Linked DNA regions of Macaca fascicularis. The protein of the gene in region 3 binds, or shares a complex with, the protein of the main gene of each other region. Links are inferred from orthologs where the notes say so. Each region holds a gene or a part of one and is shown on either strand. Other genes may lie near its edges.

Region 1 (4,135 bases), on a different chromosome or scaffold from region 3:
TTATTTAACAAGATGGATAAATTTGTATTCAGTGTTTGAAAGGAAGATATATCTTTAACCATTTCTCATTAATTGTGAATCTTAGAAACATGGGCAGTTTTCAGCGATCTGAAAGTAATATCGTTGATTGTATCTGTGAAGATTTTATTAGTGAATAAGAGATTTAATCTTTAAATTTGCTGAGATAAACAAAACTTGTCAGCCTCCATCCTTTTTAGTGCAAGTGTAGCTGCATCTCTCCTGTTTCTCCTCTCTGTTTTTTTTTTTTGTTTTTTGTTTTTTTTTTTAAGACAGGGTCTCACTCTGTGTTACCCAGGCTGGAGTGCAGTGGCGTGACCTCAGCTCACTGCTACCTCCACCTCCCGGGTTCAAGCGATTCTCCTGCCTCAGCCTCCCAAGTAGCTGGGATTACAGGCGCCCGCCACTGCTCCCGGCTAATTTTTGTATTTTTAGTAGAGATGGGGTTTCACTATGTTGGCCAGGATGGTCTCGAACTCCTGACCTCAGGTGGTCTGCCCGCCTCGGTCTCCCAAAGTGCTGGGATTACAGGCGTGAGCCACCGCACCCAGCCTCTCCTCTCTGTAAGGTGCATTATTAGTAAGGAAAATATCCAGATTCTTGGAAATTTTAAATTGAAAATTAGTGTCTCAGGTTAATTGCAAAGATGATCAGTAGCCAAGTAATTTCTTCTAAACCACCTACCTTTTCAAAATCTTCAGGAATTATTTCCTGTGACTTTTGTCCTTATATGTATAACAGTCCTTGGTTGAGAACATGGGCCTCTTTGGAGTGTTATAGAGGACCACGCTGCCCTTAAGGGCCAGAGCTGCATGGAACTAAGGCACTGGGTCAGGAATATGGGGACTGGCCATAGTGGGTCCATAGGTAAACGTGAGTCAAACTTTGGGGCTGTAATCAGGCATATGGCAAGATGGACTAAAACAATTCTAACTTGGTTGCTTAATACAGTTGCCCTCGGTATCCATGGTGGATTGGTATCAGGACCTCCCACAGATAAGCCCCTCATATAAAATGATGTATTTACATACAAACCGATGTACATCTTCCCATTTGAGCCATCTCTAAATTACTTAACAGTACCTAATGCAATCTAAATGCTATGAAAATAGTTGTTTTACTGTATTGTTTTGGGGATAATGACAAGAAAAAAAAAATCTGTACATGTTCAGTATAGACCCAGTTTTTTCTTCCTTGAATATTTTCCTTCTACAGTTGGTTGAATCCATGGGTGCATGTGGAGGGCCAACTGTGTATTATTTTAAGTATCTGACTTCCCTCAAAACAAACTCAGTCATATTTTAAGATTCCAAGCAAAATTGTTAAATGTAGTGCGATTTTAGAATTGTATTTGTTGGCCAGGCGCAGTGGCTCAAGCCTATAATCCCAGCACTTGGGGAGGCCGAGATGGGCGGATCACGAAGTCAGGAGATCGAGACCATCCTGGCTAACATGGTGAAACCCCGTCTCTACTAAAAAATACAAAAAACTAGCCGGGCGAGGTGGCGGGCGCCTGTAGTCCCAGCTACTCAGGAGGCTGAGGCACGAGAATGGCATAAACCCAGCTGAGATCCGGCCACTGCACTCTAGCCTGGGCGACAGAGCGAGACTCCGTCTCAAAGAAAAAAAAAAAAAGAATTGTATTTGTTTACTTAGGCATTTATTGACTGCCTTGCTTTGTGGCAGGCACTAAAGAAACATTTTTCAATGTTATAAGCGATATTAAACTTGGTTTGACTCTCCTTTGCACAGAACTGAATGACTTCATCATCCAGCTTGATGAAGAAGTAGAGGGTATGCAGAGTACCATTCTCGTTCTGCAGCAGCAGCTGAAGGAGACACGCCAGCAGTTGGCTCAGTACCAGCAGCAGCAGTCTCAGGCCTCTGCCCCAAGTACCAGCAGGACTACAGCTTCTGAACCTGTAGAACAGTTGGAGGCCACAAGTAAAGACTGCAGTCGTCTGACAAACGGACCAAGTAATGGTAGCTCCTCCCGCCAGAGGACGTCTGGGTCTGGATTTCACAGGGAGGGCAACACAACCGAAGATGACTTTCCTTCTTCTCCAGGGAATGGTAATAAGTCCTCCAACAGCTCAGAGGAGAGAACTGGCAGAGGAGGTAGTGGTTACGTAAATCAACTCAGTGCGGGGTATGAAAGTGTAGACTCTCCCACGGGCAGTGAAAACTCTCTCACACACCAATCAAATGACACAGACTCCAATCATGACCCTCAAGAGGAGAAAGCAGTGAGTGGGAAAGGTAACCGAACTGTGGGTTCCCGCCACGTTCAGAATGGCTTGGACTCAAGTGTAAATGTACAGGGTTCAGTTTTGTAATATTTTTTCAGCAAATTTTTATACAGTGTCATTTAATTTGGGAGAGGATACTGTCCAGAAAATTAATGCAAACTTTTGTCACAATTTGCCTTTTTGTGGGTGTACGTTTTGGTTTTTTGTTGTTGTTTTCTCTTTGTTTTTTCTTTTTTTTTTTTTTTTTTTTTTTCTTTTTTTTGCTTCAATACCTCTGCCACTTTGGAAATTGTAACAGTTAATTACTTTGAATGTTGCTAAAAGAACATTTTGTGTAGGGTCAAGTTATTTTTATATGAGTTAATGTGAAATTGTAAATGGAAATTTTTCCTTAAAATATAACACAATGACGTCTGTATAAATCTATGTCTGTTTAGAACCTGTGCTGTGTAAGGGCATTCTTCCTCATGCTGTTACTGTACTTATGCACCATTCAGACTTGTTAGAGTAGATGTGGGTTTATGACTGCCAAGTTTGCCCAGTACAGTAGTTTTTTATCACTAAAAGTTGGACTCATTGATGGAGTCCTGTAGTAGTTTCAGTGTTAGATACAGTTTTTTCCACCATACATCTGTGCATTTTCTCTTTAGGTGACTGAATGTTTAAGAAATTTGTGTGCATAGTTACTCAGTTTTTATGAACTGTTGTATCCTGTTAATGCATATTGCTCTGTGACTCCAGTATATCTTACCTGTACTGACCAAACCTAAATAAAGATTTTTATTGTAACTCCTTAATTAGCGTTTTTGTTTTGTTTTGGGTGTCTGTTTAGCATTTGTCATTGATTTTCACTGAGTCACTGAATTTCTACTCATTATCTTTCAAGTACTACAACAGTGAAACTTAAGACTAAGCATCGATTTTGATTTTGCACTTAATTTTTAATTTATGCCTTATTTTGCAAAATGGAGCTGGAGTTTAGGTCTACACTTAAAATTTTTTCTTGACTTATAATTGTTACAAAATATTTGAAAATACAGAGAAGTATAAAGAAAATAGTCATCCAAATATTTCTTAGGGGTTTTTTAATTTTTATTTATTTATTTTAAATTGAGACAGGGTCTCACTTTGTCACCCAGACTCAAGTGCAGTGGCGCAGTCATGGCTCACTGCAGCCTCCAAGTCCTAGGCTCAAGTGATCCTCCCACCTCAGCCTTCTGAGTACATGGGACTATAGGCATACACTACCACACCCAGCTACATTTATTTTATTTTTAGTAGAGACAAAGTCTTGCTGTGTTGCACATGCTGGCCTCAAGGGATCCTTCTGCCTTGGCCTCCCAACGTGTTGGGATTGCAGGAGTGAGCCACAGCTCCTGGCCCTTTTTGAGTTTTAATTGAAAAGCAGGATTTGTTTTTTGTGACCTGATTTTAAGTAGAGTATCTTTGTAGTCAGTGATGTTTGTTTTAAAACACTTGCCAGTACTACTGATTTTTACTAACAACATACCTGGTAATATTACATGAGTAAGGGGTGTTAGAATGTAGGTAGGAGAGAATGTTTTTAAGGTGGAAGAATCTCAAAGTTTGCTCCATTTTCTCAGAGGTAATTAAGTATAAAGTCTATGATATTGAATGGCCTTAAAAATGTGTAGCTTTCATATATGGTTGAAATAAAATTCCATTTCTGCTAAAAGAAAAAAGTATTGTTTTAGACATAAAAAGTATTGTTATGTCTAAAACATAAAAAGTATTGTTTTAGACATAACTTGTAATACAATCCAGGAACCCTGGAAGTGGAATTATAATACTTGAAAACTGAGGTACAACTTATTTGAAAGTAACTGCTGCTTTTGCTTGTTTAGCTG
Region 2 (5,093 bases), on a different chromosome or scaffold from region 3:
CAAAACTTTTCAACACAGGCACACTGGGCCACATGGAAAATGACATCACCCAGGAGTTTATTTCTCTTTATATATATATTATTTCTGCAGTTACCATCCTTATCTGAGTTATCACAATTCATGAATCTAAGAGGCAAAACTACATCATTAGTAAGAGGTTTTACCAAAGTCTAAAGTTGTATTCACTTGTGTTTGATGCAATATCTTCAAAAGATCATAGATCTATCATTATTTCTTGGACATAATCTAATGAAAAACAGAAAAGCCACCTAGTTGTAACAGCATAAGCAGAAGTTTACAGCACGATAGTCCAAGTGGTGATAACCTTAAATAAAACTCAAATTTTTACTGTCTGTAAAACAGGAAACGCTCTCCTAGAGAACCTCCTCCTCAACCAACCATGTACATAGTTTTATCCTATGCATTCCTGTTTTCTGTGGGGTTTTTTTTGTTTTGTTTTGTTTTTTGAGACAGCCTCACTCTGTCACCCGGGCTGGAGTGCAGTGGTGCGATCTCAGCTCACTGAACCTCTGCCTCCCAGGTTCAAGCAATTCTCCTGCATCAGCCTCCTGAGTAGCTGGGATTACAGGCGCCTGCCACTACGCCCAGCTGATTTTTTGTATTTTTAGTAGAGACAGGGTTTCACCATGTTGGCCAGGCTGGTCTTGAACTCCTGACTTTGTGGTCCGCCCACCTCGGCCTCCCAAAGTGCTGGGATTACAGGTGTGAGCCTCTGCAACCAGCCTGCATTCCTGTTTTTTTAATGATTTTGGAGGGTGGAGGTAGAGATGGGGTCTCACTATTTTGCCCAGGCTAGTCTTGAACTCCTGGGCTACAGTTACCCTCCTACCTTGGCTTTCCAAAGTGCTGGGATTACAGGTGTGAGCTACCGTGCCTAGCCTATAATGATCATTTTAATGTTTCCCATGCACTCATTTAGTTTGAACCCTCACAGCAACCCAATGAGGTAATACTCCCATTTCACATATAAGAAATACTGAGAGATGAGTTGCACAAGATTACACCCTGTTAAGTGGCAGAGCCAGAATGGACTTCAGAATCCCAACTACAATACAAATGTTTATTTAAATAAAGAAGAAAGCTATTGTACAAATATCACTCTTCAGGTTTAGTTTATAGAGCCATGGCTATGGATTCTTAGCTCTGTAAGGAAGTACTTCTATAAATTCTTAGGTTTAGAGATGATACCATCTGGGTACCTTTGCTTGAACCGTGCAACCACATCTGGGTCTAGCAGGTGGATCCCATCCAGTTGGTTTCCAAGGGTGATCCTGAAACGGGAAAAGGAGGAGCAAACCAGAAATCCTGGAATTAGAGGGTTTAATAGTGTTAAAAAATGCATACCAAGTGAAGACTGCCTATCATCATATTAAATATGCCAATTCTTGTAAAAAGAACTTAACATTAGAATAGTATATGGCAGAATGACTAGTTCAGAATTGGCATAGATTCTGGTGTTAAAATAGACTGGATCTGTATTATCTGAGGGTTAGTAACTAAGGCTCAGCCAGGCCTGCTTCACAGAGTTGCTGCTACCAGGGAGTACTCTTTGGATAAGCAAAATGCTAGCAGCATGTGTTTTAAGCTCTATTAAAGGGGTGAAAGATGTAATTATTGACAGATTAAATAGATAACTTGATAACCACCAGGGGCAGATTCAATACATCACAGAATGGCTGAGGAAGATCCTTAGGTTGTGAAGAGAACAGAAACCCTAGGGAGCAGTGCTTTGGGTCCTAGAACCTGTTGAGTTTCTAATGAATATTTGTAGAATCTCATAAAACAGTTTAAATACAAGCTTAAGTGGCTTATGAATCCTCTGAAGCTCATTTATGGACTAGTGGAATACAGTGTGAAGCTCTACTAAGTTATGTCCTTAATCATAAGTAATAGCCCCTTGACGACTAGCCTGTTCTCTGGTCACCTTACCAGTTGGGTTGCACATTGTGTGGTCGTCCAAATAACTCAATCTTGCGAGTGCCGGGAGATAGTCTTTCAATCATGCCATAGATTTCATCGGGTTTATGACTGGTGGAACGAACCTAGGAAATAAAAAGTAGCTGCTTTTTAAGTTACACAAGATTGCAATTCTAGCCCCTTCTATTATGTTTATGATCTAAATGAGAAAAATCTGGGATGAGAATACACCCAACATGAATAACTGATACCAACAGAAATGTGGAAGCTTTGGACGCCTGGGAAGCACATACCTCAGCTACGATCACATCACAATCCAGACCCTGGTTGAAGCCTTGGGGATTTCCTTTGACACCAACCTGCTCACCACAGATAACAGATTACCTTATGAAACCACCTTTTGAACTTTTTCTCAGTAAGAAATCAAATGATTCTTCTTTTGTGCTCCACCTATTGAATTGGGCCCCACTGCTGCTCACCAAGCAGTGTTCCTTCCCATGGTTCAACCAGTGACCTGTACGGCCTGTCCGAATGATGCGTTGCAGTTGATTTGTCTTCACCCAAATAATTTCATCTACCCGTTCATACCTGTGGGGCATAAAAAAGAACTAGAGTTTTAGCCAAACGTACAGTTTAGGGGTAGTACCATTTATAGAAGCAAGGAATCACAGAATACTCTGGGAGAAGAAAACATGTATCTCACTATAACAGTATTACCCTCCAAAGAAAGCAACACAACCACTACTTACCCCCAGAGGTTTAGACATTCTCTCCCCAACTCCATGGCCCTAGGAAGAAATGAGTTGAACAACTATTTGTATGCCCTTATTTTTTTTCCTTCAAAATATATGATGCGTTAAAAACACCATAAACACCTTTTCAGTAGACATTCAGTGAACATTTACATGCACAACACCAAAAGCAGCATGGTGGATCTAAGAATGAAAAGATAAAACAGTATTCTCAACAACCTTACCTTTCTCAAAGAACAAATGTAAAGTTAAATATATATTCAGGGTATAATTTGCATTGTAAATGGGCATTAGGACTCACTAGAAAAAAAGACTGGCTGGGTGTGGTGGCTCACGCCTGTAATCCCAGCACTTTGGGAGCCCGAGGTGAGTGGATCACAAGGTCAGGAGATAGACACCATCCTGGCTAACACGGTGAAACCCAGTTTCTACTAAAAATACAAAAAGAAAAAATTAGCTGGGCATGGTGGCACGTGCCTGTAATCCCAGCTACTCAGGAGACTGAGGCAGGAGAATTGCTTGAACCCGGGAGGCCGAGGTTGCAGTGAGCTGAGATCACACCACTGCACTCCAGCCTGGGCAACAGAGTAAGACTGTCCCCCGGAAAAAAAGACTAAACCAGTCATACATTTAATAGTAGGGCTACGAAAACCCAGGATTTTATCTCCCACTCAGTATTCACTCTGTACTGTATCTGAGCATACCTACATAACTGAATTGCATTACCTGCCTGTGACCCAGAGGAAGAGAAAGCCATCATCCTGTAGTACGGGTATGTTGAGCCTGCGCATCTCATCATCTGTCAGGGTCCCATAGGGCAGCTCCATGTGAATATCCCAGGGTGGGTCAGCCATCACAACTGCAAACTTGCCCAATATACTGACGTCCAGGTAGCGGATATCACAACAGATCCACTGCATAAAGTGGTATTTGGTCATCTTCCCTACTTTAACTCTCAGATTCATGGCCCGAGTCCCTCTTTTCCATTTGATTTTTCCTATTCCCTTACAAGCTTATCTATCCCCCTCCATTCCCAATAAGCAAAACAAGATTGCTGAATTATGCTCTGCTTTCTTAACGTGTATGGCTGCCCTACTCAAAATCTCTTAAGTTGAGACGAGTTTTCTGAGCAGACAGGTACCTGAGGTGGGAAGAGTCGGTCTGCACTGGAATCACCTCCGACACTCTGTGTAAGAGCAAGCTCCTGGCTTGGCGTGTGGTCTTTGCTGCCAGGGGCCTCAGAATCCATGCAAGCATCAATTTCATAGTGAACATACTTGCAGGTATCCATGTGGAAACATGTATTAAGGAAAGAGCAGTCACCTAAAGACTCATCAGTGTGTTTATTGATAATTCGTCTGGGAAAATAAAAAGGGAGAATCAAGATTGTGCTCCAGACGTACATCCAACAGTTAAAATTCCAAATGATTTCAAAATTCTCCTATTTTATTACCCTCCCCTAATTCTATTGCTAGAGCTTTCTCCAAGAGTTTTAAGGGAGGCAGGTAGCATGGAAATCCGTAATTCATACTACAGAACAATTGTAATTCATCTCTCAGTAAAGACTGGGTTTCCTGTTTTACCACTGGAAGGCAAGCAGTGCAGGGGACTTAGTTGGTTAGAACAGAATAAAACACTGACCTAAGAGTTCAGGTTCCTTTTCTCCTAAGATTATCCTGCTTTCAGAGTACTTTAACTTTCACTGTGGCTGAGAGACAGACATACCTTGTTATTCTAAGGAGGGAGCTTTTTCTTTTAAAAAAAAAAAAAAATGTTATTTGGGAGTACAGCCTGTATTCTTCCCTCACAATGCACTTCTGAAAGTATACCTTCAGGGTCTGGAGTACTTACACAAACCATAAACTAAGTAAGATTACAGACAGAACCCCAATGACTGGAAAGAATATGCTGAAAAGGAATGGCTGCTTCTGACAAACCCATCCCACCTCATTCCCTTCCAAGAGACCTGAAGTGCAGCTTGCGACAGGGTCGATCAGCATCACTGGCTTTCATGCACTCCTCCTTGGTTCCATAGTCACAGAATTCTTGCACTTGGGCCCGACCTCGAGAGCGAAATTTTTCAACAATGGATTGTTCCTTGGCTGTTGTAGTATTTAATAGCTCTAGGATCTCCTGACTGACCTGTGACAGAAGTACCCTTGGACTTAAAATGTCTTGTAGATCAAACTGGCTCTTAGACCAACTCTGCAAATTCTTTTTGACATTAATGTCTTACAAGAGATAAATCAGCTAACTTTTTTTTTTTTTTAAGAGATGGGATCTTGCTGTCACCCAGGCCAGAGTGCAGTGGTGTAATCATAACTCACTGTTTCTCCCACTGAACTCCCAGGCTCAAGTTATCCTCCAAGCTCAGCCTTCAATTGTAGCTGGGAATACAGGTGC
Region 3 (4,596 bases):
TATCAAAAGAGAACATAGAAACTCCAGCCCTATCTGTAACTAAGGAAATTCTACATATCTTTTAACCAAAATGCATTAGGCTTACCATACAAACTCAACCCAATCAATTCTCCTACTTCTGATCCTATCTATGCTCCCAAAAGTAGACGATGCCTTAGAAACTTTATTATTCTTCTACTACTAACCAATCAAGATATAATATTACCTCTTTGATTCAGCCCATAGTAAAGTATCAATATTCAATTCTCTGGGCCATCAAGTTTCATGCTATATTAATCTAGGCATTATAGTGAACCTTACTTCAGCCAAGGTTAGTAAGACCTTCATAAAATTTTTAATGTTTAAAGGCCCGAGTAAGTACAGAAACAAAAGCTTGCCAAAGAAAGTATTTACATCCTTCTTAAAAGTGCTTCCTAATCTTGCTTCAAAATTGATTTAAGAGATCATCAGATAGATGAACAGAAAAAGTTTTGGCTTAAGACATATAAGAATGCAAAATTAGCTAAAGCAAATACCATATCTTCTCAGGATAGAATACAAATAAAATATTTTTCTAAACAATCCCTAGCCCTATCATTGGTTTTTTTTTTTTAATTTTTTTATTGCTCCTCTCTGAAAGTCCTTATAAAATTCTATTGATCACAGCGAATGAGTGAGTAGCCAGGATACTCAGATGTGAAGTTTAGGTATTTATTGAATCAGAATTGCCTGGAATGGAACCCAACCATCTACATACTTTAAAGGTTTGTAAGCTATTTGGTTAAGATGAGAGACACACAGCAGGGCACCCAAGTTTTTGCACTTTGTTGCCAGTAGGTACTGGTCACTAGCTATTGACATAATCCCTCCCAAACCATGTGAACAAAGATTATATGAGTATATATAATAGTTTCAAGTGTGTCATCAAGCACAAGCCTTAAAATATATTTTACATTAAATAGTAAATTGGTAACTGTTTTAAAAAACAATTCACCCAATTGATATTATTCACTATTTAATAAAATTCTGTTTGACAAACCTCTCTCTCTGTTGTCGCGACGGTCTCGCTCTCCATGTCTTCTCTCAAAGGAAGAATCCCTTGCTTGATCTCTGTTGTCTCTTTCAGGATATCGGTCTCTTTCAGGATAGCTACTTCGAGTTTCCCAGCTGTCATGATAGTTGCTATTACTACTGTGACTATCAATTTGAGAACCTCTTGAGCTTCGACTTCCTAAACAAAGGACAGTCACACAAATGTTTACCCCATACACTTTATTCAACAAATTTCATCAGTCACAATCTTTCCTCCTAAAAACCACTAATATATATATTTAATATTCCAAAGTGTGGTAATCCCTCCTGAAAAGAGTATCAAGCAATGAATCAGAACAACCAAGGTGTCCAATGACTGACCTGAGTAGACAAAGTTCCAGTTTTCTCTATCTATATAAAAGTCATACGATAAAATTATAAGATTCATTAAAGTTAACCTGTCCCCCCGCCAAAAAAAAAACTATTTCTTCATATCTAATTCACAGATATATAAAAATAATGAAAAAAATGGGTATATATTATTGCTTAAATACAGTTTACAGTGAAAACATTCCAACATAGAACACCAAGGTTAATGACATTAAATTGTATGTGAAAATTTTCATTAACAGATGTGGGAAACAGACATTCACAGTGGCTTTGTTCATAACAGCCAAAACCTGCAAAGTACACTAATGTCTTTCAATGGGTGAACAATTAAACAAACTGTGGCACATGCATGCCATGGAATACTATTCGGCAATAAAAATAAATGACTGATATATGCAACAACTTGGATGAACCCCAAGAAAAAATTATGCTGCGTGAAAAAGCCAATCTCAACAGGATACATAGAGCATTATTCCATTTATGAGACAATTACAGGATAAAGGACACGTAAGAGGCTGCCAGGGGTTGGGGCCGGGGGCCAGGCGAGAGTTGTGGCTATAAGGGGGTAATAAAAGGCAATCTTAGGATGTTACAGATGAGTATCTTGACTATGGAAATGGGCTACACATATGATAAAACTGCATAAAGCTACATACAGACACACACCCAAGTGCATGTATACTGGTGAAATCTGAATAAACTCTATGGATTGTACCAATGTCAGTTGTTTGGTTTTGATACTACACTACAGGTAGGATGTTAGATGTTAACACTGGAGAAGTTGGGAGAAGGATAAACAAAGTTTCCCTGTACATTTATTTGCAATCTCCTGTGAATTCCTAATTACTTCAAAACAAAATGAAATAAAAAAAAAACAAAAAAACAAAAAAACCTTTTTTGAGCAGGGAGGGTTAGGAGTAGAGAAAGAAGCAGTACTGGGGCTGTGATAATTTAGGAATATCTGGCAAAAACAGACAGAAACTCTGAGGGCCCTGCCCTTAACCTCATAGAATTACCACAAATCAATCTTGACAAAGATGAGTTCACTCCAAACTTAAAAGAACATATGACAAACTAACCCACCCAAAGTCAGAATCAAAAAGCACTTCCCCAAGATTTAAAAAACAAACAAAAACACAAAGAATATAAATGTAACAGGCTTTTGAGACCTAAAAGAATTACAGCATGATTCTATGGGTATTTTAATAATCAAAATAGATATGAAAAATATTTTAATAATTAAAGACCAGGAAGAAAAAATGTAAAACATTTTTAAAGACTACAAAAAGGCTACCTATAACATCTAGGAATGAATGGGTTAACCATCAAATCAGACGCAGCTAAGAAAAAACTGGTAAACTAGAAGTTAAGCCTGAGAATATGACCTAGAGGCAAAACAGATAAAGAGATGAAAAATTTGCAAGTTAAGAATGAGAGAAGATACAATGAGGAGATTTAATGTGTCTAAAACTATATGTTGTTTAGAGTTACATTAAAAAAAATAATAATAAAGCCTGAAAGGATGGCAAAAGATATATCAAACAAATACTAACCAAAAGACAGCTGCCAGCAAAACAATCTTCAAGAAAAATACAGGCTGAATGCCCTTTATCTGAAATGCTTGGGACTACAGGTGTTTTGGATTTTGGAATATTTGCATTATATTGATTCAGCATCCCTAATCTGAAACATTGGAAATCCAAAATACTCTAATAAGCATTTCCTCTGAGTGTTATGTCAGCTCTCAAAATGGCTGTTGTCAGAGTTGCTAGTGGCAATAGTTGAAAAAAAAGAAAATACATTAAAAAGTTTGAGATTTTGGAGAATTTCAGATTAGGGATGCTCAACCTGAACCTGGCATAAACAGTCATTCTATAATGAATAAAGAAATAAATAACTCATCTTATGTGTACCTAAGAGCAAAGCCTCAAAGTATTCAAACAAAAAAATGATCAAACTATAAGAAGAAATGAACAAATCTACAAATTCCACAATGATAGTGGAAGACTTAACTCACCTCTCTGTAATGACAGAACAAGTAGACTAAGAAAAATTACATGTAGATTTGAAAGTGTAGTTAAACAAACTTTATCTTAGAGACACACTCTGCATTCAACCATTACAAATGCAACTCCCTTGAAAGCATATGTAGAACACTTACAAAAACAGACCACTGAGCCACAAAATAAGAGTTAACAAATACATTTCCCAAAGAACTGACTTTCAACAGAGTATTTTCTGACAACTAAAATGGGGTGAGAGAACTTAATCCTTAACGCAATAAAAAGCATCTGCAAAAAATCCACAAACACCATACTTAGTAATAAAATGCCAGCAACAATCCTTTAAAATCTGAAACAAAGCAAAGCCCACTCTACTTATATTTAACACTGTATTGATAAAGATGCTCAGCAGGTTACTGACAGAAAATTAATAATCAGAAAAGAGCCAAATCAGTCTGTTCCTAGGAACATTTGTTAAGACAATCTAATTAGATCAAGAAAATACAGCAACATCCTTTAAATGTAAGATTAATATACAAATGCCAATTACCATTTCCATGTACCAACAAAGCATTAGAAAATGCAATGTTTTAAGAGACACCATTTAGTGACATATGTACACAGTTATTCACTAAAGCATTGTCTGAAAGAGATGAAGATTAGAAAACCAAAATACCCAGTAATGCAGCACTTGCTGACTTTATGGTATATTCTACAATAGATAACATGTGCCAAAAGAAGAAAATAGCTGTTTACCACAAAGAAAGACATGAAAGCTATTTTTACTGGTTGAAAACAGTAGGATATAAAATAGTACATAGATTTTTCCACTGTTTTTAAAAATTATTTTTGTAAATCCAGAGGGGAAATCAAATGGATATTTATTTGCTCGCGTAAAATGTTTTTTGGGAAGAATACCTACAAAGCTGGCAAAAGAGTGGTCAGGGTACAAGGGAGGCTTTTCACTATATGTCCTTTTATACATTCAAAATTTTGAACCATGTAAATGCATAATTAAAAAATTTTTTTATCTTACAAAATGTAAAAGCACTATTTATAATGGCAACAAAAATAGAGGATACCCAGGAAAAAAAAATGTAAAAAATATTGGAAATATTATAAATTAAGTTGATGCATTTGAAATAAAAATCCAACTATTTTTTATGAAATTAAAAACTGTTTTCTAAAATTG
Region 4 (4,596 bases), on a different chromosome or scaffold from region 3:
ATTCCATGATTGTAAGTAATCAACCCGTTGGTTTTTTTCTTGCTGGGTTTTTTGGCAAATGGATGCAAAACGTAGAATTGTTTGAGAAAATTAGCTAAATTCTAGGCCTTGGGAAGAATGAGGTCTCTTCTTGAAACATATTGTTTGATATTAGGAGTTCTGAAGATGACAGAAATGCCTATGCTTAATGGCTAATAGACAACAAAGTAGGGAAGATTAAAGGTTCATGTAGAATAACTGTAACTTCTAATTGTGGACTTTTGCTATGTTTTATGTAACAGTCAAATTTTTAAGAGGCATATTTTTGAAAATTACATAATTTTTTATGTTCTCTTTTAGTAAATCACATTTTTTCCCCTTCTGATTTAGCTGTAGTGATCCTGTGCAGCGAATTGAGCAGTGTACACGAGGTTCTCTCTTCATGTGTAGCATTGTTCAAGGGTGCAAGAGAACGTATTTGTCTCAGAGAGACTTACAGGCTCATATCAACCATCGCCATATGAGAGCTGGAAAACCTGTTACCCGTGCTTCACTTGAAAATGTTCATCCTCCTATTGCCCCACCACCAACTGAAATCCCTGAGCGTTTTATAATGCCACCAGACAAGCACCATATGAGCCATATTCCGCCAAAGCAGCACATCATGATGCCACCACCTCCTTTGCAACATGTGCCGCATGAGCACTATAATCAGCCACATGAGGATATTCGTGCTCCTCCAGCAGAATTGTCCATGGCTCCACCTCCACCTCGATCGGTCAGTCAGGAAACCTTTCGTATTTCAACAAGAAAACACAGCAATTTAATAACCGTCCCTATTCAGGATGACTCAAATTCAGGTGCTAGAGAACCACCACCTCCTGCCCCAGCACCTGCTCACCATCATCCTGAATATCAGGGTCAACCAGTGGTATCGCACCCTCATCATATTATGCCTCCACAGCAACATTATGCACCACCCCCACCTCCTCCACCACCAATAAGCCATCCAATGCCACATCCTCCCCAGGCTGCAGGTACTCCTCACTTGGTATATAGCCAAGCTCCACCTCCACCAATGACCTCTGCTCCACCACCAATAACCCCTCCCCCTGGACATATTATTGCCCAGATGCCACCTTATATGAATCATCCTCCTCCAGGACCTCCCCCACCTCAACATGGTGGTCCACCTGTAACTGCACCCCCTCCTCACCATTATAATCCTAACTCATTACCCCAATTCACTGAAGATCAAGGAACTCTGAGCCCTCCATTTACACAACCAGGGGGAATGAGTCCTGGTATATGGCCTGCACCAAGAGGGCCACCTCCTCCTCCACGATTGCAGGGTCCGCCTTCTCAAACCCCACTTCCTGGACCACATCATCCAGATCAGACGAGATATAGACCGTATTACCAATGATAATAGTATTTTGAACTGAAGATATGAGGAGGAAAAAAACTATGTATAGTCAATCTTTTAATTAAGCTTTGACTGTTTTGGGAAGGAAGAGTACCTCTTACCGAGGTAGTATAAAACACATAGGGTCTTGTTTCTTAAAATGGTTTTAAATCTTGACCTTAAGATTGATTTCAAGTACCATACTGTAGTACAGATAAGTGGCTCAGTTGAGCACAGCTATATTTTAACATCTTTATTCCCCTAATTTAGTAAATTGACCCAGAGGTGACCATTTGTAAAAAATTTGAAAAAATTTTTCATTGTTTTACTTCAAAAGTATTGTTTTGTTAAACCCAACGTTTAGTTTTTCTTGTGATACATTTTGTTAACCTGTGTAAAAGGATTAAATTTCAATAAGATTGTAAAAATGCTATTTTTATGTGAATTTAAGTGCAGCCACATACTGTTTTTTAAACCATATGTTTTACCACTAATTTCCCAAAGTTATAATAAAATCCTAAAAGCAAAAATCTAGAATTTGCTGTAAGGCAGACTGTTAAATGATAGAGAGTTATTTCACATTTTAGGCACTGAAATGTTGAGGTTTCGAGGTATAGTAAGTATACAATGCACTTCACTTGGATGCCTTTTCATTTTTAGGCAGCCTCAGGAGCACCAAAATACATTGGAATTCTAGTACTAAGATATATTTGTTTGTAATGTTAAAAGGCATTACTAATTATTTGGAAAGAGATGGCCAAAGTAATCAACTCTACAGGCTTCAAGCTGGTGGGGAATGCTGTTACTCATTAATGCTTTTTTACTGAATGGTCGGAATCACATATGCACCACACATACTGATCTTAAGTAACATTATTTTATAGAACTGTTTAAATGGTGTTATTTAGATGAAATGTGTTCTGTTTTGTTCATTGTCTTAAACTGAATAGGGCTGAATAGGCTTTATGTAATTCTTCATTTCATGGTAGAGTTTGATGCTGTGTTTAAGTGGGTTCTTGTTTATAGGATTTTCAACTGCAGTTTGAATGCCATGGAGGAATTTGAATAATGTATTAATGAAGGACATATTCTTGTAATCACAAATTTGCATTTGCTCAGGTTTCATTGCTGTGTGATAGAATTTTTCCTCTAACTTGAAATTTAAAAACTTTTATTTCCTATTCCTTTTGTTGGTAAAGCAGTCTGAATTTGGAACATTTTAGCTTGGAGTCAACAGTGAAGACTACCAGATAATTTTGTATTGGAGAAGAGGAAAGTAACAGCTAAATTGTGGATTTCAGTGCTTTACATGGTGCCTTTAGAGTCAGCTTTTACATTATAGGGGCTTGTTATAGTTCAGCTAAGATGACCACTTAACAGTTTATACAGAACTCATGTGTATAAATCAACGTTCTTAGGATATTATTTATATCCTTTGAATAAATCCCTGTGAAGTTTTTCCTCCCCACTAAAATGGTGCATAATAAAACATGAAATGTGTAGTATGCAGATATCATTTATTAGATAGTTTGTAGTATATACATTTAGAACATACTTCTTTTGACAAAGGGTGAACTGATTGCTAATTTACCATTTTATTCTGTCAGGTACAGGTGAAACAAATTCTCATCTTGAATGATCAGATGCAAAATCATTTCTGAACCCTAGGAGCAGAAGTTAGAAATAACAAAATGGCCATTTCAACCTTGACTGGCCAAAAATAACTAATAAACTTTTTTGTTTTAAGTCAGGCAAGTGATTTTCTACACTTCACAGTTTGAAAGTCCAGTGTTAATGCAATATTTCTAGTGAGAAATGCTTGTTATTAAAAGCATGGGAGTGAAATAGTGTGAAATGTTGGTGGTGAGTGCTTCTATCATGTTACTGTAGGTACTTGGACTGGTGCAAACTTGATTCCTTTTCATGCCCCTGTTTAGGAGCTATTAAAATGTTACTGTTAAAAATCCAAACCATTTCTTTGTTCCATGTAATAAGAAAATAGCCAAAATCACTTTAGAGCTTCTCAGCTATTTATGAAGAGCTGTCCTGCTTTTATTGAAAGTCACTAGAGTTGAATGTGGTAAGCAACCACTTAGCCTATGTATTGGACGAGAAAAATCAGTATCATAAAATTTTGAACTAAGAGAACTCTTGTAGAGTTTTAAAAAAATGATTTATTTTCAATTAGGTTTAAGAAATCTATGTTATGCAGGGAGGCATATCAGATGAATGTTGTAGTAGACAAAAGTTTTAAATCGTGTTAGACTTGAATTCATCAATTGTTTGAGGGTGGGTGGGTAGAAGGATAACAAAATTACTGTTAGTGCTTCTTTCCTTACGGAAAAAGATGTGAATCCCAGCCTTATTTCAGGGAAGCCTTTGAAGCTATGATGGACATAAGTCTAAATTAAATGTATGTATGTTTCATTATATTGCTCTTAAGACTACTGAGGTGGCAGTTTAATTCTTAAAAACAATAAAATGGAAGCATAAATACTATTTTGCCTAGATGAATTTTTATGTATTGGCACATTTGGAAGAATGCAGAATTTTCCATGTTTATGTTGATAACTTTCTCCAGTATAATTAAGTTCACTTCTAAAAGATTAAAACCATCAAGTTGAATGTTACATTTCTTCAGTGGCATGTTTATTCAGAATATACAGTATTTGGGGAAATATCTGTTGCAAAGACTATAAGAAACTATATTCATTTTGCCCTGTAAAAACTACTTGCTCAAAATTATCGTGTAAATACTAATTAAATACCACTGAAATGTAAATGGAAGAGATATTTGAACATATCTTTTAAACTCAATAAGAGGCTGTATGAAGTATACAGAACTGCTGAAGGCTTTGTTCTGACTAATATATTGGAAGAGTATCTTTTGTAATCTTTTTTGGAAAACTCTACAGTTCCGTCTTTCATAAAGTTTTTGAAAATGAGTACATTATGAGTACATGAAAAAAGTGCATGAGTACTCAGATATTTCTTCATTAGATTACCCATCAAATTAGTATGTTGATGTTAAACGTGTAAACACTATATTCCGATTAAAGTGGACTTACTCTTCATACTAATATAAACATACTGTATTCTGATTGAAGTGGACTAACTCTTCATACTAATATAAACATACTGTATTCTGATTGAAGTGGACTAACTCTTCATACTAATATAAACATACTGTATTCTGATTGAAGTGGACTAAC
Region 5 (5,290 bases), on a different chromosome or scaffold from region 3:
ATAAAAATGAGTGATTAGAGTCCAGACTCAGCCTGAAGAACTGAGAGGCTGAGAGTGACCTATGCAGCAGTGGTGCTGGAAAGATGACGTAGGACATTCGTGTACATGCACTAGGGAAGTCTTCGATTCTTAGCTTGATTAAACCAGGACTCTGAACAGGTTTAAAAATCCATCCTGACAAAGGTTTTACTGACAACTTTCCATACAGTTGGTCAAAAAATAAAAAAATACAGAACCACAGCAGACAGTATCTTGTACACTAGAAATCAACATAACCGGATTCCCTTCTCATCATTGTTAAAAAAAAAAAAAAAAATTCCCCCAAATTCTAAGAACTTAGTTTTGGTGCTGGACAGGACTTTGATCCCCACCCAAATGAACCAAAATAACCCAGGAGATAATTCAAACCAAAGTGGTAAGGTAGACAGGGGATCAGATTTTTAAAATAACTGCTTTTGTGACACAAACATGACGCCGGGAAAGACAGGCTTGGGCTAGGCAGTGTCTCTGACGATGACTATCACCATGTGTTCTTCTTCTAGTTTGCCCAATGTCCTTAGTGCTGACTGGAGGTACTGCTGGGAAAAGTCGCAGGGTGGGAAGGCGTAGAGCATGCCTGTGCCATCTCTGCCCTTGGACCCCCCCACTGGCAGGCTGATCACCCCTGCGGCCTGCTTCTGTTTCAAGTAGGAGACCAGGTTCCTGAGAAGCCGCCTCTGCAGACCTGGCTCCACTGTGGGCATCCCCTCAGTGCCAAGCCCACTGGGGGTTGCCTGGGTGGCTAAGAGGACCGCATAGCCATTGGGGCTCCCCTGCTTGATGCGTCGTGTGACCTCATCGAGCTTGGGCTGGTCCAGTCGAAGGCGCTGGGCGATCTTCAGCTGGGTCAGCTTGCTCCCAGAAGTGTGGTCTTTGAGCAGACTGCTGATTACCCCCTGATCCCCCTCTAGGATGTGCATAGACGTGGGGAAGCAGCTGTTTTTCAACACCAGAAGCCCATTCCAACCCAGCTGTAGTGTCTGAGCATACTCTGAAAGATTCTTCAGCTTTTTGGTCTCATGTTTTGGCTCTTCAAGAGGCTTGGGCTCGGCCTCCGTGGGCCGGTGATTGCGCTCGCTGTCTCTTGTCTTCTTCCCATGGGAAGAGTCTGCAGCCTCGTGGTGGTGGTGGTGGTGGCCCCGTTCCTCAGCCCCGTGTCTGCTGTTGCTGAGGGAGTTGCTGCTGGACTCCTTGGTCCCTTCACTGGAGTGGTTCTCCTTGCGGCTGCGCTCAGGGGTGCGGTCGGAGCCCCGCTCTGACTGCTGCCCACTGCCCTTGGTCCTGCTCCGTTCCTCATAAGGGGAGTGGGTTGTCCTCCCACGGTCACTGGAAAGGCTCCTCCGTTTCCGCCTCTCTTCCCAGGGCTTGGGCAAACCACGGTCCCCATCTCCCCCCCAACGCTCACCACTCCGGCTGCGCACTGAGCGACTGTAGCCCTCAAGGCTGTTTCGGCGGTCAGAGCTTTTACTGGGGCTGGTCCAGTCCCCTTCCAAAAAAGTCCGGTCTCGGTCTGAGTACAGAAGGTGTGGGGGCGTCCTGTCCCGCACCAGGTCGGTGTCCAGGTTGCGGTGCCGGGTGTATCCATCTGTCAGCAGCTCATAATGCACAGGGAGTGGTGAGGGCTGGTACTGCTGGGGGTACCGAGTCTCCTCTGCTTTGGCAAAATCCACGCGGAGCCTGCGGTCTGGTCCACCCAAGGGAAAACCCCTCATTTTAGCACAGGCGGCCTGGGCTGCATCCAAGCTCTCGTACTGGATATAGGCAAAGCTATCTCCTTTGACGTGATCAATGGTCCGAATGCTCCCAAAGCGGTCAAACTCCCGGGCCAGAGCTGCCAGTGAGGTGTTAGGTCCCAGGCCACCCACCCAGAGACGAGTGGTGGGGTTGGCCTTGCCATAGCCTATCTTAATGGGGTTGCGACCAATCACTCGGCCCGACATGGCCACCTTAGCCCTATGGGCCATGTCCAGGTTCTGGAACTTGAGGAAGGCATAGGCACCACCTTGGCCACGGGCAGGTCTCTTGATGACCACCTCCTCGATGATGCCATATTTCTCGAAGGCCCGTCGCAGCTCCACCTCAGATACGCTGTGGTCCAGGTTCCCAATGAAGAGGTTGCGCGTGGCCCGCTGGTCGTCCTCGGGCATCAGGTCCTCCTCACACACAGTTGGGTAGCCATAGGGGCGCCCACGGTCGTCGTACAGCCCGTAGTAGTCCAGGGCCCGCTCTCGGGACAGTCCCACAGCGGCGGCAGCGGCGGCATCCAGGGCGAAGGCTGCGGCGGCGTGGCGGGCGCGGGGCTCCCGCAGGGGCGGGGCAGCGACGGGGGACAGCGAGCGCTGCTTGTACTGGTAGCCTCCGTGCAGCGGAAGGTAGCCGAGCGGGTCGGTGGGCGCGGGCGGCCCTGGGGGAGGCGTGGAAGCGGCGGCGCTGCTGCTGCTACTTCGCCGACTGCTCCCGCCGCCGCCGCGCAGGTACACGGGCTCTACCTTGAGCGGGCGGTCGTAGAGCAGCAGCTGGCGGGCCAGGGCGTGCTGGCGGGCCTCGCGCGCGTCTTGTGGGTGCCGGAAGTTCACGTAGGCCACACGGCCCAGCTCAGGCGTGTGCGACAGGCGGAGGCTGATCTCGCCGAAGCGCTTGAACTGGTGGAAGAGCCGGTCTTCGAGGTGCTCGGCAGGCAGCGCGGGGCTCAGGCTGCTGATGAGCAGCGTCTTGTACTCAGGCGCGGCTGCGGATGAGCCGGGACCCGCGGGCTCGGCCCCAGGCGGTGGCGGAGGCGGCGGCAGAGGAGACGCGCGGGGCGACAAGCCGGAGGCGCCCGGGTCCCCCGAGGCCTTGCCGCCGCGTCCCCCGCCGCCAGCGCCGGAGCCCGAGGAGCGCCCGCTACTCGCGCGGTGATTCGCGTCCCCGGTGCCGCGGCCGTCGCGATGCCCGCCCCCGCCGCTTCCGCTGCCGCGGGGTTTGTCGCGGGCCCGCGCTGGAACCGGGTGCTTGGCGCCGCCAGAGGCCTTGTGCGCCGCCCGCCGCCCGCCCGCCTCCGCCTCCCGTTCGCGCTCCCGCGGACGCTTGGCCGACGATGACGAGCCGCGCCCGCTCGGGCTAGAGTCTCGCTCGCTCTGCCGCTTCATGGCGCTGGCGCGGCGGGCGGGCGGCCCGTAGGTTTCTCACAGCGGCGGCGGCGGCGGCGGCGGCCGAGGAGGCAGCGCCCCCGGCGCCGCCATCTTGGACAAAAGGACTCGGCGCGGCGGTGGCGGCGGGGCGGGGCGGGAGCGGCGCCTAGGGGCCGGGCATTGCGTTATCAAGCTGCGCCGGCCGTGCCACGTGACCCTGCGGCGGGCGGGGCGAGATCCGCGCCGGGCCTGCCTCATCGCGCAGCGTCGCCCAGTGCCATGTGACCCTGTGAGTGCCGGGTGAGTGGGCCTGGGCCGCGCGCTCTGCCGCCACCGCGCGGCCCGTATGGCAGATGCTTGAGGCTACGCGGAGTGTAGGGAACCCTGAGAGGCCGGCGGGACGACCTAACGCTTTGTGCTCCCTGGCGTGCTTTGCCGCTTTGGGTCCAACTACCTCCTCCTGCAGGCGCTGGAGCCCGCGCTGATTGGAGCAAGAGTGACAGTTTCCATGGGCGTTGGGTCTGGGGCATTAACCCAGTCAGTGGTCTCTTTAGTATCCCCTCAGTCCCAGGACTAGGCTTGAGCAAACCCCGCATCACCCTCCTTGGCTTCTCCTGCCTGGGATCTGGGGTTGACAGCCCCAAGGACTAATGCATGCCCTTCCTTAGCCCCTGTCCAGGATCCAAGGCCCACATTCCGCGCATTCTCCACGTGTAGGTTCACCTGCAGGAGTCCCCGAAAATGCCATGAGGACAATTGTTGTCATTCAGGTAAGCGGAGACAAGCCTGCAGTTGCAGTTCAGTTGGAATAGACTCTCTAACACCACTCTTGGGTCCCACCCTCTTCTGTGGGCATCTGGGCAGACAGCAGGCTGGAAAGGTAGGGCCACAAGAGCTAAGGATGAAGAGGCCATATGCACAGATAGTGCCAGCCGTTATCAGTTTGCCACGCTGACCCTTCGTTGGCCAGTACCCTCCTGTTCATCACCTTCACGAGAACCTCTTCTCCCCAGGTGAGGTGAGGGAAAGGGTGCCCAGGTGCTCAAGCCTATTGAGGAAGCTTTCATTCTCCAAGGACAGTTGCTGGAGCCATGGTAGAACCTGACCCAATTCCCGGCACAGAATCCTTGCGATGGGGAAGAGCACACCAAGTCATGGCATCTTCTCACAATGAGAAAGCAGCTCCTGGAGCAGCTCAGGCAGGTGCAGGGGGAAAGGTCTTGGAAGAAAACAACGGGTTCCACAGCAGCCTGTAAGGCCTCCTACTGGCAAACTGAGCTTAGGAGACACAAGTGATCTGAGGCAAGAGCAATTCCTTGGAAAGCACTGGTTCTTAGTTCGTCCTTTCAGGTGGTTTCTACAGGTGTTTTCATTGAGCCACAGCTCACACTAACAACTGGGTTTCCTAAGCACCAATGCCACAGAGCGTGGCTTAAGAAGCAGACTCCAGAAAAACCCTGGACCTCAACTGTTTGACTAATGTAGGGTAAACAAAGGCAAAAGGCAGCTTCCCACTCCCTCCTTGTATAAGCTGACTCCTGCTAGTCTTGCAAAAACTGGAATAGACATCAGAGGCTTGGAATGGACAAAAAAGCAAGTAGGTGGCCAGGCCAACAGCATTGAGATGTCAGTGCTGACATGCACTGTTATTGAAGGCATCCTTGCGGAAAACCACACTCCACACACCCTGTCTTGCTTGTACTGAGCCACAATTTAAGGCCCTCCAATGTATCCAGACTCACTCCTCCTAAAGCTGTGGCCTCCAGCTCTCTTGGGTGGCTAAGACATACGGTATCAAGGGGCAGGGTATCAAGCCCAGCACCCCCTACCTCCTTTCTGCTGAGGTGCCTGCTGCCCTCTAGTGGCACACACCCAGGCACATCAGCGGGCCCTAGCCCCTATGTCCTGCTCTGGTCTTTTCAGCGCTGGTGGGTTGAGGGATAAATGGAAATGAATATCCCCCCAAACTTTGCAACTGGAAAGCATAAACTGGTAGGAACCTTCTGGGGCAAAACCCCATTTCAGTATTCACCATAATTCTCCACAGACAGCTAGAAATTTTTTTTCTTTAATAAAAAAATCCCAGACACACTTTGAAGTCCTAGAGTACACCAGCAACAGAAGGAAGGGAATCCCCTCAT
Region 6 (5,111 bases), on a different chromosome or scaffold from region 3:
CACAAGAAGACTACTAGCCACTTGGAGGTCACCCTGCAACAGATGCATGTTGGAAGGAAAGTTGCTGTTCTTCAGTAGAAGCATGCCCTGCCAGGCCAAACAGAGTTTGGGAGAGGCTGCTGCCGCAGGGGCTGTCCCCCCATCCTGTTTCTGGGACGGGGACTTCAGCTTGCAGGAAGCAGTGCTGGTGCTAGGTGCACTCCCATCAGAGCGGTCTTCTTTTTTCAGAGGGCTTTTTCCCTCAGTGGGAGCAGTTGTCCGGTGCTTCCTATCTCGTTCAGCTGATGCAGAGTTTTTACGGTCTCGCTTGTCACCCTGGCTCTTCTCCAAACTACCTCGTCTGTCTCTGATTGGAGAGGGCCTTTCCAAGAGAAGACGGGAAGATCGATCATTGTCGCTGTTGTAACGATCCCGGCTACTGCTCAATTCTGGACTGCGGTCAGGAGAAGGAGCGCAGTGACGTTTTCGTGGGCGGTCACTCTCAGGAGACCTATCCAGATGACGTCCTCCACTCTCCTCAGGCAGCCTTCGCTTCCTAGGCTGGTCTCTGCTGCTGGGCAGATCTCGATCACCTCTGTCCCGGTCCAAGGACCAACCATCCCGCCTGCGATCAAGGCTATCCAGTGGCTCGTAAGCAGGCACAGAAGTAGCTGCAGTCCGAGTGCTGCGTTCTCGGACTGGGGGTGGGGGTGGCACCCAATCAGAGTCAGGATAAAGGTCCCTATCACGATCTCTGTATAGTAAGGGTGGTGTCCTATCCCGAGCACCCCTCAAAGGGTCAGGTGCCCGATGTCCAAAAGCATCTGTCACCAGCTCATAATGAGTCAAGGGCAGAGGCTGCAGATACTGCTGCTGGTAACGATGTTCGGTGTCGGCAAAGTCTACTCTAAGGCGTCGATCTGGGCCACCAAGTGGGAAGCCCCGCATATGGGTCCAGGCAGCATGCGCTGCATCCAGGCTTTCATACTGGATATATGCCCAACTATCACCTTTTCGGTAGTCTATGGTGCGTATGGTGCCAAATCGATCAAATTCTCGTGCCAGGGCAGCAAGAGGAACCCAAGGTCCCAGGCCTCCCACCCAGAGGCGGGTGGTGGGTGTAGCTTTACCATAACCAATTTTGATAGGATTCCGAATTATAATTTTGCCGGACATTGCTAATTTGGCCCGGTGGGACATATCTAAGTTCTCAAATTTGAGAAAGCCGTAAGTACTAGTCTGGCCGCGAGAAGGCCTCTTGATATCTACTTCTGTGATGACTCCAAAGCGATCAAACGCCCTTCTTAGATCATTCTCCGTTACAGTGATGTCTAGGTTGCCCAAGAAAAGCGTCCGGTTAGCTCGCTGATCATCCTCGGGTGAAATCTCATCCACTTCTCTGAAAGGAGCAGCACCTGCTCCAGCTCCCACCCTTGGCTCAAGACTGTATGCAGGGCGCACTCTCTCATAGAACGGGTAGTCTCTTTCTCTCTCCAGCTCTCGAGGCAATGGTGGCGGAGGTGGAGGGGGCAGGCGGCCAAGAGCCAACTGCTGCAGCCGGTAGTCTCTGTATCCTAAAGCAGCGCCACCAGGGGAAAGTGATCTCTGGCCTCCACCACCTCCAGGGGGGTGCCGGTGACCACCTACAGAGGCCCCGACCACGCTGGCTGAAGGAGGATAAGTATCTTTGTCTAAAGGGGAGCGGCTGCGGCGCCGGCTCACATACACAGCTTCTATCTTCAGAGGCCGGTCATAGAGCACCAGGCGGCCTCTGGCATGCTTGGCCGCCCGCGCGTCCTCTGGCCGCCGGAAGTTCACAAAGGCTACCCGCTCATCCCCGCTGCCAGAACCCGACAGATGACTGATTTTGACACTTACATCACCGAAACGTTTGAACTCATGAAACAGGCCGTCCTCCACCGCTTCGTCACTAAGCTGGGACCCCAACTCGCTTATCTTCAGAGTCTTGTATTCCGCGCCGTCCCCGCCGCCGGGAGCTGAGGAGGCGGCCCCAGAGGAACGTGACTCCCCGCCTCCACCCCGGGAGCTGCTGCGCGACTCGCCCCCGCCCGAAGAATTTTTGGTGCTCGGGGAGCTATAACTATGCAAGCGGCTACTGGAGCTGCCCCCACCGGTGTCATACTCGCGGCTGCCACCTCGACTGCTGGACTTGTCCAGGTGGAGACTCCGCCGCGACCCGCCGCCGCTATCGGTCTTTCCGCTGCTGCTCCCATTGCTGCCACCAGAGCCCCCTAACTTCTTGCTCCGCTCTCCGCGGGAAGTCGAGTCCTCACCACCACGGGAGCGTTTGGCCTTGACTGGCGAGCGCTCTTTTCCCTTCATTGTTGCGGGTCCTCGGAGGTCGTCTCCGCGGAGCTGATCAACCCGCCGCCCCGCGCTCGTTTCACACAGCGGAACCGCACGCCGCCATCTTGGACTCCGCCGCGGCACAGGGTCCCGCCCCGCAGTCCTCATTGGCCAATTAGCTCTCTCTTCTACAGTCTCATTGGGAAAATTATTTGTCTATCTTTACATCTCCCCGCGCTCCAGGAAGGCGCCCGCCCAACCACTGTTATTGGGTTCCCAACCCCCTAGTCAGAGTACCTCATTGGTTACATTTGTTGTCTATCTTAACGGTTCCTCGCGCCAGGCTGTAGCTCCGCCCCTCGCACTCTGCGGTCACGTGACCCAAAGTGTAGCTGTGTTGATTGGACAAAAAGTCTGCCCTGTAACGGTACTTCTTGCTCAGTGAAAGCAGCAACCCCGCCTCCTCATCCCTTTCATTGGCTTGTAAACCCGTCCTTTAAACCACTATTTGGGAGGTGGGGCCAAGTTTCGGCGTTTTTCCGAGAGGCAGGCTCACAGCGATATCGCGAGAGACGGTGAGCTCCCTCTTTCGACCCCCTTTTTCCAACTCCTCCGGCGGCTAAAAGAAGTTTAAATCTGATTGGATGTCTGCAAGGAAGTTGATAGGCTGAAGTAACTGTCCATCACTCGCTTAAAGGGGCAGGCCCATATAACGGAGGAGGCTGACTGAAGGTGAAAGACTAGAACACGTGCTTGCTATGCGACGTCACTTAGATGTCGCGAGAGGGTGACTGTGCGCCAGCCCCGCCTCCCCGCGTTTTTGGCGTTCTCCCCACAAACATTTGTTAAGTTCCGTGGGGTATTTGGCTGTGCTTCGGCCCTTGGAGTTCGAAACTTCTGAGCTCCCCGCCGTCCTACCTGTGCCGGCCAAGGGGCGGGGCAGACTCTCCGGCTGTCGGGGCCCTCCAGTCCCTTAGGAAGCCGTCCTGGGACGCCTAGCGGACACCATCTTATGTCGCTGTGGTAGCTGAGTGCACAGCCGGGGGAAGCCCCGCCCCCCGCGCGCGGGAGAGCGATGCCCGCGGTCACCTGGGCCCGCGGGGCAGGGAGTTCACGGTTCCTGCAGCCCCGGGTCACGCTGACGCCCCGGGGCGGTGCTAACACGTAACACGCGGGACCTCGAGAGCTAAGCAAGGTGGCTAAGACGCAGCCCTAGCCCAGGAGCTTGTCTCCCCCCGGCGCTCCCCGTTGCCGCCCAAGTACTCTGGGCAACCGAGGGGAGTGACCGTCGATCCCCGCCTCGTGGCCCGCGGGCGGAGCCGGAACTGTCAGGACACCGCGGACGTGTCTTTGGGCTGCCTGTTTTATGTTGCGAATCTGTGTGGATTTTTAAATCCGGTATTCCCGTAAAATAGCAATGTTTGTTTTTAATATGTAATGCTTCTTCCCTGAAAATCATCGAGCGAAATTTAGGCTCCATGCAGATATGTCGCTTTTTATTCCCCCTGTGGCTTCTTGTATTCCTTGGCACTCCTCTTTTTGTGTGTTAAAAGCCAGCAGCACAGGCACCTTGTGGCGGCTCCGGATCCACCTCGTTTGGCTCCTTCTGTCGTTCGCCTTACAACTTTAATTTCCATAGAGCGTTACTGTGGCGGACAGAGCACCTGTGAGAGGTGCAGGCGATGCCGAGCTTAGGGGGATATGGCCTGTGCCTCAGCACTCGCCGGTTGCTGCAGGGACGCAGCGCTGAGGTCACCACATCCTTTAGACCGTCTGCAGCTCTCCCGGGTATGCGCCGGGGCGGAGGTTATATTGATCCCGTCCTCAACCCTATTTCCCAAGATCCAATCTATAGTAGAGGTGTGAGGTGTTTTTAAACATGACATTTTTCAGGGTAACAATAATGTCCCAAAAGCTGAAACCTAAACTTGAAAACTGTTAATATTAGGAACTGTAACCTAAATTTAGCCTTGGCTGAGCCATCCTTCTTTTTGTAAATAATCCTGAGGAATATGAAGCTGTAGGCCTTTTATCTCTTGAATAAATCAAAGAAACTTGAAGGAAGAAGCTCAATTGTAAAGCATAAAAATCCACAATATTGTAATGTGTAGACATATTCATTGTATTAAAATAGGAAATAAAACTTCAGAAGGCATAAAATAACGTGTATAATACGCTACCATTTGTGGTTTTAAAAATATTTGTATTTTATGAGTATGTACATTTAAAAATATTTTCGTGGAAACTTTCTTGACAACTACGTGGGAAATTGTTCCCAGGATTGCCCTGAGGAGGGGTGTAAGGATCTGGAGTCGGAGGGAGACTTCACTTTTCTTTGTAGAAATCTTTTGTTTCTACAAAGGGCGCACTATTACTCCTTCAGTTTAGAAAATATCATTTTTAACTTTCCTTAAACTATTTTTATAGAAAAAGTTTAAAATACATAAAAGAATAAAGAACTCCCACGTGTACCCAACACCCTACTTCAACAATTATCAAATCATGTCAATCTTGTTTCATCTGCATCACTCTTCCCACTCTTCCTTTCTCCATTGTTTTCTTCCAGACTTACCTGATATACATTTCCTGCCCCAGTTGTGGAGTCAGCCATTTCTCCAGAGAGCTCTGGTTCCTTTTAGTGGGAAATGGTATTTAAAGATAAAAATCTGGATGCTGGAGGATAAAAAATACATGAACATATTATTTGTAAAAGCATGAAATAAAAGAAAAAGTTTTACCTGGGTTTAAATGTTTCAAGGTTATATTAATAGACCACAAATGGAAATTGAAGTTAAGCCATTATCTAATTACTCAATATAACAGCC

Evidence for each region.
Region 1: the proteins of ZC3H13 (region 3) and WTAP are in contact, whole or in part, in a cryo-EM structure (PDB 7VF2), measured with the Homo sapiens proteins. The link is inferred for Macaca fascicularis from reciprocal best matches to the Homo sapiens genes ZC3H13 and WTAP. Residues at the interface, in NP_001317494.1 of Homo sapiens: Arg1512, Pro1514, Gly1515, Ala1516, Ala1517, Leu1518, Lys1520, Phe1521; in NP_001257460.1 of Homo sapiens: Asp202, Glu203, Asp206, Phe207, Gln210.
Region 2: ZC3H13 (region 3) and METTL3 share a complex: the UniProt entries of both Homo sapiens proteins name them as parts of the WMM complex. The link is inferred for Macaca fascicularis from reciprocal best matches to the Homo sapiens genes ZC3H13 and METTL3.
Region 4: ZC3H13 (region 3) and CBLL1 share a complex: the UniProt entries of both Homo sapiens proteins name them as parts of the WMM complex. The link is inferred for Macaca fascicularis from reciprocal best matches to the Homo sapiens genes ZC3H13 and CBLL1.
Region 5: ZC3H13 (region 3) and RBM15B share a complex: the UniProt entries of both Homo sapiens proteins name them as parts of the WMM complex. The link is inferred for Macaca fascicularis from reciprocal best matches to the Homo sapiens genes ZC3H13 and RBM15B.
Region 6: ZC3H13 (region 3) and RBM15 share a complex: the UniProt entries of both Homo sapiens proteins name them as parts of the WMM complex. The link is inferred for Macaca fascicularis from reciprocal best matches to the Homo sapiens genes ZC3H13 and RBM15.

The regions. Positions count from the first base shown.
Region 1 is NC_088378.1:11,231,387-11,235,521, reverse strand, and holds the end of WTAP (pre-mRNA-splicing regulator WTAP), read left to right. Parts: intron 1-1,770; coding exon 1,771-2,354; 3' UTR 2,355-3,064; downstream 3,065-4,135. UniProt on the Homo sapiens protein: Associated component of the WMM complex, a complex that mediates N6-methyladenosine (m6A) methylation of RNAs, a modification that plays a role in the efficiency of mRNA splicing and RNA processing.
Region 2 is NC_088381.1:89,173,272-89,178,364, forward strand, and holds the end of METTL3 (N(6)-adenosine-methyltransferase catalytic subunit METTL3), read right to left. Parts: intron 4,833-5,093; coding exon 4,657-4,832; exon of another isoform or gene 4,637-4,656; intron 4,049-4,636; coding exon 3,832-4,048; intron 3,605-3,831; coding exon 3,417-3,604; intron 3,122-3,416; exon of another isoform or gene 2,992-3,121; intron 2,874-2,991; exon of another isoform or gene 2,814-2,873; intron 2,727-2,813; coding exon 2,688-2,726; intron 2,527-2,687; coding exon 2,418-2,526; exon of another isoform or gene 2,370-2,417; intron 2,298-2,369; coding exon 2,232-2,297; intron 2,064-2,231; coding exon 1,951-2,063; intron 1,293-1,950; coding exon 1,181-1,292; 3' UTR 1,068-1,180; downstream 1-1,067. UniProt on the Homo sapiens protein: The METTL3-METTL14 heterodimer forms a N6-methyltransferase complex that methylates adenosine residues at the N(6) position of some RNAs and regulates various processes such as the circadian clock, differentiation of embryonic and hematopoietic stem cells, cortical neurogenesis, response to DNA damage, differentiation of T-cells and primary miRNA processing.
Region 3 is NC_088391.1:25,181,291-25,185,886, forward strand, and holds part of ZC3H13 (zinc finger CCCH domain-containing protein 13), read right to left. Parts: intron 1,211-4,596; coding exon 1,019-1,210; intron 1-1,018. UniProt on the Homo sapiens protein: Associated component of the WMM complex, a complex that mediates N6-methyladenosine (m6A) methylation of RNAs, a modification that plays a role in the efficiency of mRNA splicing and RNA processing.
Region 4 is NC_088377.1:149,293,004-149,297,599, forward strand, and holds the end of CBLL1 (E3 ubiquitin-protein ligase Hakai), read left to right. Parts: intron 1-369; coding exon 370-1,405; 3' UTR 1,406-3,883; downstream 3,884-4,596. UniProt on the Homo sapiens protein: E3 ubiquitin-protein ligase that mediates ubiquitination of several tyrosine-phosphorylated Src substrates, including CDH1, CTTN and DOK1. Targets CDH1 for endocytosis and degradation.
Region 5 is NC_088376.1:114,404,778-114,410,067, reverse strand, and holds RBM15B (putative RNA-binding protein 15B), read right to left. Parts: upstream 3,276-5,290; 5' UTR 3,168-3,275; coding exon 495-3,167; 3' UTR 161-494; downstream 1-160. UniProt on the Homo sapiens protein: RNA-binding protein that acts as a key regulator of N6-methyladenosine (m6A) methylation of RNAs, thereby regulating different processes, such as alternative splicing of mRNAs and X chromosome inactivation mediated by Xist RNA.
Region 6 is NC_088375.1:123,969,256-123,974,366, forward strand, and holds the start of RBM15 (RNA-binding protein 15), read right to left. Parts: upstream 3,335-5,111; 5' UTR 2,455-3,334; coding exon 1-2,454. UniProt on the Homo sapiens protein: RNA-binding protein that acts as a key regulator of N6-methyladenosine (m6A) methylation of RNAs, thereby regulating different processes, such as hematopoietic cell homeostasis, alternative splicing of mRNAs and X chromosome inactivation mediated by Xist RNA.